Linked DNA regions of Caenorhabditis elegans. The protein of the gene in region 2 purifies or fractionates together with the protein of the main gene of each other region. This does not show direct contact. Each region holds a gene or a part of one and is shown on either strand. Other genes may lie near its edges.

Region 1 (3,175 bases), on a different chromosome or scaffold from region 2:
CAATTTTTCTCAATTTCCTGAATATCTTCCGACACTGACCAACAACTTCTCGAAGCAAGAATCTCAGCGGCCGACATCTAAAATCTTCCGGTGGCATTATTAAATAGAGAATTATATCGACAAGATCATGAAGATAGGCTGAAAAATCGGAAAAAATTGAATTTTTTCATCGAAAATCTCAATTTTTACCATTTTCATAATGCGGTGTAGTTGAAAGAAGATCTCTACACAACGATTTTTCCATTTCCAGCTCAAAATCAAAGAAATTGCTGAGCAATTCCGCTTCCAAATCTTCAGGGGATAATGTTTTATCTTTTTCCTTCGCTTGAAATGCAGTTCTTTCCTTAGCTTTCCGGAAAAGCCGTAAATGAGAAGCAAAATCGTCGACAACGTCACGCGTGAGCAATGGAACCCAATCAACCTGGCGGAGACTGGAAATTTGAGATTTTATTGATTTTTTTCCATTTTTTGTTTTATAAAATAAAATTTTATTAATGAGCTACACACCATTGTGTCAATGAGGCAATTGATCTTCGGGAGGTTCTCTTTAAGCTTTGTTCAAAAATATTATCATTTGAAAGTGTTTTATACCAAAAGCCGACGTAATCCCGTGTTATATTGCCGAGAATCTAAAAAAAAATATTTTTAATAACATTTCAGTCCACATAAATCCCTACTTGTTCTAAAACCAAATCTAATTGCGGTGAATTGCACATTGAATGCACCTCCACATATTGATTTTGCTCTTTGAGTCGTTTTCCATTTTTCAGCAGAGCCTCAATTCCCGCAGATAATTTTCCTTTTTGCAGATTTTCGGATAAAATTCCAGCGATTTCGTCATGTTTTTCGTGTCCCGTTTGATAGAAAATGTAGAGAAATCTGAAGGTATTCCAGTTTAAGGTTTTTCTAAAGAATTAAAGCTTACCCCGCTACGAAACAGAGGATACTGGCTGGAAGAACGATTAGACCGGTTGAACCGAATGTTGCTAGGAAAAGGACTACAGCAAGGAGAATATAAAGCCGATTTGACATTTTTCTAGAGAATTTTCCGATTTTTCTTCATATTTTACATAAAATTATGGAAATTCATCTGTAAAATCTGGTAAATAATTAAAAAATTCTATGCGCATTCCGTAAAACTAGTATCTCGGGGACAAGGGAACGTGAGATTTGAAATAGTTTCTGGCAGCTTTACAAATGAAAATTGCTGTATTTTTTTAGTATTTATAATTGATTAAGAATAATATAATAGTTTTCATTTAATTAAATATTTAAATTTGCATTTTACATAAATGCTAGTCTCCAATTTCGGCGTTCTTGCGTCTCCGGGAAGTTAACTTCATGAGGCCCTTCCCGCAAACGCGCCCCACTGCACACGCTGCGTGCTGCGTCGCGTGCCTTATTTTCGAATTTTATTCCCTTCATTTTTCATTTTGAGCTCTTCATTTTTCGTAATTTTTAGAAAGAAAAACCGTTTTATTTCTAGATTTTCTTCAAAATAAAGTTCTAAAACACATTTTTCTCATCTGGAAATCCATTTGTTGCCACATTTTTCTTGCAACGCGTGCAAATTCTAGAATTTTCCGAAAAAACTTCATTTTCGGGGTTTTATTCCTTTTTTGTCTATTATGCTCAGCATATTTCAAATGAGAACAAACTTTACCGTGAAAAGTGTGAAAATCTGAAATTTTAGGCGATTCTACTTCTTTTTTCTAACGTTTTCTCCCTTCAAGCCGAATCTACAGAATCAAAATTTTCAGAATGACTTCAGTTGGTGTCCCAATCAAGATTCTTCATGAGGCCGAAGGTCACATGGTCACGCTCGAAACCGTTACAGGTAATCATTTTCGAATTTCCCGTCGCTCAATAAATACTTTTCTATTCCAGGCGAAGTTTACCGAGGAAAACTTTCTGAAGCCGAAGACAACATGAACTGTCAGCTGGCTGAAACCGTTGTGACTTTCCGCGACGGAAGAAGTCATCAATTGGACAACGTTTTCATTCGCGGAAACAAGGTTTTTCACCATTTTTCTCTAAATTTCAGCTGTAAACCAATCAATTTCCAGATCCGATTCATGATTCTGCCGGATATGCTCAAAAACGCGCCAATGTTCAAAAATATCGGAAGAGCCCAGAAAGGAGCCATTGGAATGGGTTTGGGAGGTCTCGATCAGCGTGGAAGAGGACGTGGAACCGCTTTCCGTCGACCAATGGGCCGTGGAGGACCACGTGGAATGTCTCGCCCGGGAGGAGCTCCAACGTTCCGTGGATAAGCACAACACGGCGCAAATATAATCAATTCTCTGTATTTTTTCTCTCTCTCGAGTCCCCCATTCTTCCAGTTTCTCTTCTTTTCAAAGCGTGCGCAGACCGTTGAATTTGACGTGATCTCCTGCTTGTCCCGGCTCCGCACTTTGTTATTTGTTGAATCATACTTCATTTTTCATAAATTATTTTCCAGAAAAAAGACGACGACAAACTGGTTTCGGAGATTTCCCTGTAAGATTACCACAATTCCAAAGTGTGGTATTCGCCTAGAATATAACTGGCGAAATGGTAAATCATTCGCCAGTCGTCTTCTTTTTGTTCTCCTTATTCTTTTATTCGCATTTAAATGGAGCATTCGATGATGCAGAGCATTTTCCAAAAGGGATAGAGGATAGAGCCAAACTTTTGGCACGGGCAGACCAGTGTGTGCTAAAATATTTAGAGTTTACCGGCAAAGTGAGTAATTTTTCGCAAAAAATTGAGCGAAAAACTTGAAAATCCACGTTTTTTTTCGAGCCGCTCCGCTTGCTATTGCGTCGCGGTCGCGAATATTCTGTTATTTTTTTTATTTCTCTGTTCAGAAGCTTTCACATCTGCCGTACACTGTAAAACGATGTGCTCTCTCGGAATATTTCACTTGGGAAGAGTCTGGAACATTTTTTCCGTTTCAAAAATGCAATAATTTCGTGTTTTTCGGGGGAAATTCCCTCCAAATATTGAATAATACCGATTTTAAGATGCTCAATTGCAAATATTTGATTATCGATTCGAGGGAGAACCTCCGTGGAGTTTGTAGTTTATAGTCGAAGAAATGAACTTTTAAATTCTGAAATTTTCAGCTTGAAAATTATAAAAAAGTAGATGATCTTTCAAAATCACAACTAAACAATGCTCTGCTTCAATTTAA
Region 2 (6,399 bases):
CGAGGCTCAGAGACTACAAACTACAAAAGGCTATTAGCCTCAACCAACTTTTTGACTCAAACACACGGAGTTTATAATATTAGTTGAGGCTCAGAGATTGCCAAAACTGAAAAATTTCCGGCAAACCGGCAAATTGCCGGAATGGAAAATTTCCGGCAAATCAGCAAATTGCCGGAATTGAAATTTCCGGCGACTCGACAAATTGCCGGATTGAAAATTTCCGGCAAATCGGCAAACTGCCGGAATTGGAAAGTTCTGACAAATCGAAAAATTGCCGGAATTGAAATTTCCGGTAAATCGGTAAACCGGCAAAATGCCTAAAATTAAATTCCCGGCAAATCGGCAAATTGCCGGAACTTAAAATATCCGGCAAATCGGCAAATTGCCGGAATTGAAAATTTCCAGTAAACCGGCAAAGGGGTCATGTGTCGATTTACGCAGCTCGTGTACTCCCCGAGTACAAGTTTTTAGTTTCAGTTTTGGCGGTTTTTTGTCGGTTTTCGCTAATCAAACACAGTTTTTAAGTGAAAATTTTATATTTTTCAGCAGTTTTTAACCCAAAAACTGTATAAGTTAGTGACTTGACCGTTAAAAACAAAAAAAATTAGCCGCAAGTATCCAAAAATTTTAATGAAGAAAATAAAAAGAAGAATTTTCACCGGTCGCTTGTCCACCGGGAGTACACGAGCTTTTCTGTAGTTTGTAGTGCAGACTATAGACTACAAAAATCACCTGAAAATAAGCTAAACAATATCGAAATTTTGACTCTTTTGGTGTATAAAACCACACAAAATAAAAGCACAAGAAATTAATTGGCAATGAAAATAGTCCGATTAATTGCAGAGTCTTCATGTAATAATCCGGAGGCCCATACGGACAAATCCACGTGGCAGAGCCCATTTTTTTGGCTGGAAAAGCTGAAAAAATGAAGAAAAATCGCGAAAACCCGGCAGACCGAGACCAATAATAGAATAAGTTATGCGCTTGGGTGGTTACACATTCTCAGCTGGCATAATTTGCATAACAAATGTGATTTTCTAATCATTTTTGATCGTTTTTGCACACTTGCTCAGCGGAAAAGTGCTCTGGGGCTCAATTTTGGGAGAAAAATTGAATTTCATATTTGAATTTCCGCCGAAATCGAGAAATGCGCCAGCGTGCACGAGAAACGCGCAAGGCGGGCTGCTGGCGCGTTTTTTGCGACGACGCTGCGTTTTTATTGGTTTTTCAGGGATTTTTCGTGGTTTTTTGCGGATTTATTTGGTTTTTCTTGAAATTTTCTTGTGTTTTATTGAAAAAATAGCGATTTTCGCGTAAAATATCACTTTTTTAGTCTAAAAATCTACAAATCTAAAAAAATTTGGCTGAAAACAGGGGGAAAAAGATATTTTCGAAATTTTGCAAGTTTTTACTGTTTGCACACCGAATATCTGGGTTTTTCCAGTAAAAGGAAGCTTAAAATATTTCTTAAACTGGAGTATTTTCGAGTTTTTGAGAAATTTTGGCTTAAAATCAAGTTTTCTGCGAGAATTTAGGTGTTTGCTAGGAAAATTCGCGTTTAAACACTGAAAATGAGCGGAAATATCGATTTTTTCTAGTTTTCTGCTCTTCTACACGATTGCGCTATTAAAAGTTCAAATTTTTCAATTTCAGAATGGACGCCGGCTACTTTCGCGGAGCCAACTCAGAGCAGGATGGACGATTTTCGGATAAAGAGAAGAAATTGTTGAAAACGATGAAGTTTGAGCCGCAGTTAGAGCAAAAGGTAAAATAAATTCTGCCAGAGAGCCAAAATACGCTCAAAGCTCAAAAATCTAGCGAGAAATTGCGATTTTTCCAGTGAATTTCCAGTAAATTCCAAAAAATTATCATCTAATACTCGATAATTAAAGGTTATACAAATTGGCTTTTCTTCAAGATCGACCTGAATCGCTGCAATATGGACGTCATCAAGCCGTGGATTACGGCCCGTGTCAACGATATACTGGGGATGGAGGATGATGTCGTTGTCGAGTATATTCTATCACAGATTGATGATAAGAATTTGAATCCGAAGCTTTTACAGGTAAATTGTAGCGAAAAACCCTGTGAAAATCGGATTTTTGACCGAAAAATCGACTTTTAGAGGCCAAAAACTATGAAAATTGGCAAAAAAAAGGATGGAAATCACCTCATTTTAAAGAAAATTTGCTCGTTTGGCCGTAAAACCGTCAAATTTCGGTAAAATTTGCTTATTTTTGAGAAAATCCTTTGGGTGAGGCTCACACGACTTTGTAGTTTGTAGTCTCTGAGCCTCAACCAACATTTATTTTTCTCGAATTTTTGCAATAAATATGGCGTTTTTGAGCTATTTAGATAATTAATTTTCCGTAAAAATTAAATTTTTGACCGAAAAATCGACTTTCATAGGACAAAAACCACGAAAATTGGCAAAATTTCATGCAAATCGCCTCATTTTCAAAAACATTCGCTTGGTTGAGGCTCACTAGACTTTGTAGTTTGTAGTCTCTGAGCCTCAACCAAGATTTTTTTCGAATTTTTTGCAGCAAATTTGGTGTTTTTAAGCAGTTCTACACGCTGAATTTCCTAAAAGTATTGATTTTTGACCAAAAATCCACTTTTATAGGACAAAAACCACGAAAATTGGCAAAATTTCCATGGAAATCGCCTCATTTTCAAAAAAAAAAGCTTGGTTGAGGCTCACACGACTTTGTAGTTTGTAGTCTCTGAGCCTCAACCAAGATTTTTTTTTGAATTTTTTGCAGCAAATTGGCAGTTTTTGAGCTTTTTAGATAATTAATTTTCCGTAAAAATTAGATTTTTGACCGAAAAATCGACTTTCAGAGACCAAAAACTACGAAAATCGGCAAAATTTCATGCAAGTAACTTCATTTTTAAAATAAATTTGCTTGGTTGAGGCTCACTAGACTTTGTAGTTTGTAGTCTCTGAGCCTCAACCAAGCTTTTTTTAATTTCAGAAAAAATCACTGTAAAATGTCAGAATTACAGCAAATTTTCTATCAAAAAACCTGAAAATCATGAGAAAACGCTTTTAATTTCAAATTTTTACCTTCAAATTCGCAAAAAATCAGCTGTTTTTGTAGTTTGTAGCCACATAACCGCCTCAATAATCTCAATTTACTTTCAGATCAACGTCACAGGCTTCCTGAACGCCCGTCGCGCCCGGGAATTTGTCGGCGACCTCTGGAATCTGCTCATCGAGGCAAATGCATCAGAAGACGGAATTCCAGCATCGCTAGTCAATCAGAAGATGGCCGAGATGAAGACAAATGATCGTGATGAGAAGGGCGACGATCGGGAGGATAACGACTGGACAAATCGCTACAAGACCCTGAGTAACGGGCGGTACACTGGTCCGGCTCGGGAGAAAGCCGTCCGCGACGATCGTATTCCGGCAAGAGCGCTGAGCCCGAGAAAAACTCCGCCACGACGGAATGCGAGTCCTGGAGGAGATGGTGGTGGAGGATCACCGGCCGCCAGACGAGGTGGATCTGCCGGGAATCGGAGAAGATCACCGCCGAGAAGGGGCTCGCCGAGAAGAGGATCCCCGCGAAGAGACACCAGAAGAAGCCCACCACGACGACGTGGATCTCCGCCGGCACGGGGAGGAGATCGTCGGGATCGTCGGGAGGATCGCCGTCCAGTCCGTGACGAGAAAGAGCGGGAGGAAGAGTCGCGTCGGCGAGAAATTGAGCGTAAAAAGCGTCATGAAGAGGCAGAGCTCCGTCAGAAGGCTATAGCTTCAGTGGCGGCCAGAGCCAAGTCTGGAAGCCCGAGACGACGCAGGTCTCCATCTGCGTCGAAGAGCCCCCCGCCAGCGAGAAGACGCCGCTCACCATCTCAATCCAAGAGCCCAGCTCCAAAAAGAGCAAAATCCAGATCGAAAAGCCCACCGGCTCCAGCAAGAAGAAGAAGATCCCCGTCAGCTTCGAAAAGCCCACCGCCGGCTCCAAAAAGAGCAAAATCTAGATCCAAAAGTCCGCCGGCTCGGAGACGCCGATCTCCGTCAGCTTCAAAGAGCCCACCGGCTCCACGAAGACGCCGCTCCCCGTCCAAATCCAGAAGCCCGGCTCCAAAAAGAGAAATTCCTCCAGCTCGGAGACGCCGATCCCCGTCAGCTTCAAAGAGCCCACCGGCTCCAAAAAGAGCCAAATCTAGATCCAAAAGCCCTCCGGCTCCAAGACGTCGCAGATCTCCATCTCAATCCAAAAGCCCGGCTCCACGAAGACGCCGCTCCCCGTCGAAAAGCCCACAGGCTCCAAGACGCCGCCGCTCTCCATCCGGCTCAAAATCTAGAAGCCCACGACGTCGCCGCTCCCCAGCAGCAGCTCCCCGCCGTCGCCAGAGCCCACAGAGACGAAGATCCCCGCGAAGACGCCGCTCCCCATCATCATCATCCAGAAGCAGAAGCCCACCACCACCACCACGTAGACCACGTCAGGATTCGGAGCAGCAGGCTCCGGTGGCCGTAAAGAGCCCGGAAATGAAGAAACGGCGGCCGAATGATACGGATTCTGATGTTTCTGTTGATTCGGAGGCGGAAGAGGAGCGTCGTCGTAAGAAGGCAAAGAAGGAGAAGAAGGCCGCCAAGAAGCATAAGAAGGTGCTGAAAATATGGAAAATCGAAGAAATTTTGAGCTTAAAAATTGTGAACATTAAAAAAATCTGCAATTCCCTGCTTTTTTCCTGAAAAATTGGAAAAAAAATTCCACATTATCTCAGAAAAACCACCGAAAAGTTGAAAAATTTGAGATTTTTTATCTGAAAAGGAGGGAGAAAATCGAGAAAAATTTCCACATTTTCCTGAAAAACGCTGAAAAAATCGGGAATTTTCCGGATTTTCTCGGAAAAAAACAGAAAAATTCAAAAATGTCTGATTTTTTTTTCTGAAAAACGAGGAAAAAAATCGAAAAATCCCGGATTTTCCAGAAAAAAATTCAAAAATTCATTGAAATTCATGAAAAATCTGGAAAATCTTGAAATTTTGAGCTTAGAAATAGGGAAAAATCGTAAATTCGATGATTTTTTTATTGGTTCCAAAAATCGGCAATTTTCTGTTTTTTTTTCCAGAAAAATCACAATAAAAATTCAAAAATTTAGGATTTTTTCCTGAAAAACAGGGAGAAAATCCGAAAAATTTTCGTATTTTCTGGAAGAAAAACTGAAATTTTCAAAATTTTCACGGAAAACCACAGTAAAAAAATCAAAAAATATCTGATTTTTCTAAAAAAAAACAAGGAAAAACATAGAAAAAGTCCAGAACTTTCCAGAAAAATTCAAAAATAAAATTTTTGCGATCAAAATCGTTTTAATTTTCGTTTAAAACTTAAAAAAAACTATTTTTGCGCTAAAAATTCACGGAAAACTGTAAAAATTACCAATTTTGGTTGAGGCGGTGTTTTCGTCGATTTTTTCAAACTTTTCGGGCAAAATTGGTCTGAAAAATGTAGGAAATCACGTTTTAGAGCTATATTCCACCAAAAATTTACAAAAAAAAAATTGGTAGAGGCTCAGACTACAAACTACACAATTTCCCCCGAATAAACTCGAATTTTTCAGGAGAAAAAGAGCAAAAAACACCGAAAACGCCGTTCACCAAGCGCATCCGAATCGGGATCTGAAAGTGACTGAAACTAAAAAAAAATTTTAATTTTTTTTCATTTTCCTATTGATTACTTTTTTTTATTGTTAAAAAATGGTCTCTGTCCTCTCATTTATTTATTTTTTCTTTTTTTTCCACATTTTTTAAATCGTTTTTCTCTTTTTTCCTGCTGTTCCCCTCCGCTAAACAAGTCTAAAAATCTGTTTTATTCATCATTTTTTAATCTATTAAACTGTCTCGCCTCGATTTTTATTGTAATTTTCTTTTCAAAATTCAAAATTTTTAGCCTCAGCCTTCAAAATTGGCCTGAAATATCTCATTTTTGGAGCCCAGAAAAGGCTAGAAAGAGCCCAAAACTGTGTTGCAGGTGTATGAGCGACGTGACGTCATTGAGCAGCAGCCCAGCAGCAACACCGTCCTCTCTGTCGGGACACGCACTTGTCGCACTTGACAGAATTGATACGAGCAATACGGCTGGATATATTAAATCTGGTGTGTGTGTGGAAAAAGCTGGAAAATTGCCAAAAAAAACGGAGAAAATTGAGGATTTTTGATAAAAATTTCAATTTTCCCGCAAAATGTTGAACTGAATCAGAAGAAAATTACCGAAAAATCGCACAGAAAAGAGCAAAAACTGGAGTTTTTTGCATTTTTGCAAAAAAAAATTTGGTTGAGGCGCTCGATTTTTTGTAGTTTGTAGCCTGTGAGCCCCTCAACCAATCGATTTTCAGCGAGGATAGCACAACTTTCCTGCTAAAAAGAGATTTTTCGTCAAA

What was found.
Region 1: the proteins of rsr-1 (region 2) and snr-1 fractionate together in Caenorhabditis elegans (co-fractionation; one large-scale study listed by BioGRID). This does not show direct contact.

The regions. Positions count from the first base shown.
Region 1 is NC_003282.8:17,086,298-17,089,472, forward strand, and holds snr-1 (Small nuclear ribonucleoprotein Sm D3), read left to right. Parts: upstream 1-1,751; 5' UTR 1,752-1,761; coding exon 1,762-1,837; intron 1,838-1,887; coding exon 1,888-2,015; intron 2,016-2,066; coding exon 2,067-2,273; 3' UTR 2,274-2,553; downstream 2,554-3,175. Other genes in the region: snx-13 (Sorting nexin-13), read right to left, coding at 40-138, 190-431, 508-629, 678-879, 926-1,032; Y116A8C.43 (Lipoprotein), read left to right, coding at 2,554-2,724, 2,850-3,056, 3,108-3,175. UniProt on the Caenorhabditis elegans protein: Plays a role in pre-mRNA splicing as a core component of the spliceosomal U1, U2, U4 and U5 small nuclear ribonucleoproteins (snRNPs), the building blocks of the spliceosome.
Region 2 is NC_003279.8:11,177,318-11,183,716, reverse strand, and holds rsr-1 (PWI domain-containing protein), read left to right. Parts: upstream 1-1,653; 5' UTR 1,654-1,654; coding exon 1,655-1,765; intron 1,766-1,918; coding exon 1,919-2,065; intron 2,066-3,148; coding exon 3,149-4,624; intron 4,625-5,580; coding exon 5,581-5,652; 3' UTR 5,653-5,869; downstream 5,870-6,399. Other genes in the region: sri-5 (Serpentine Receptor, class T), read right to left, coding at 733-900; F28D9.4 (Transmembrane protein 242), read left to right, coding at 5,995-6,115.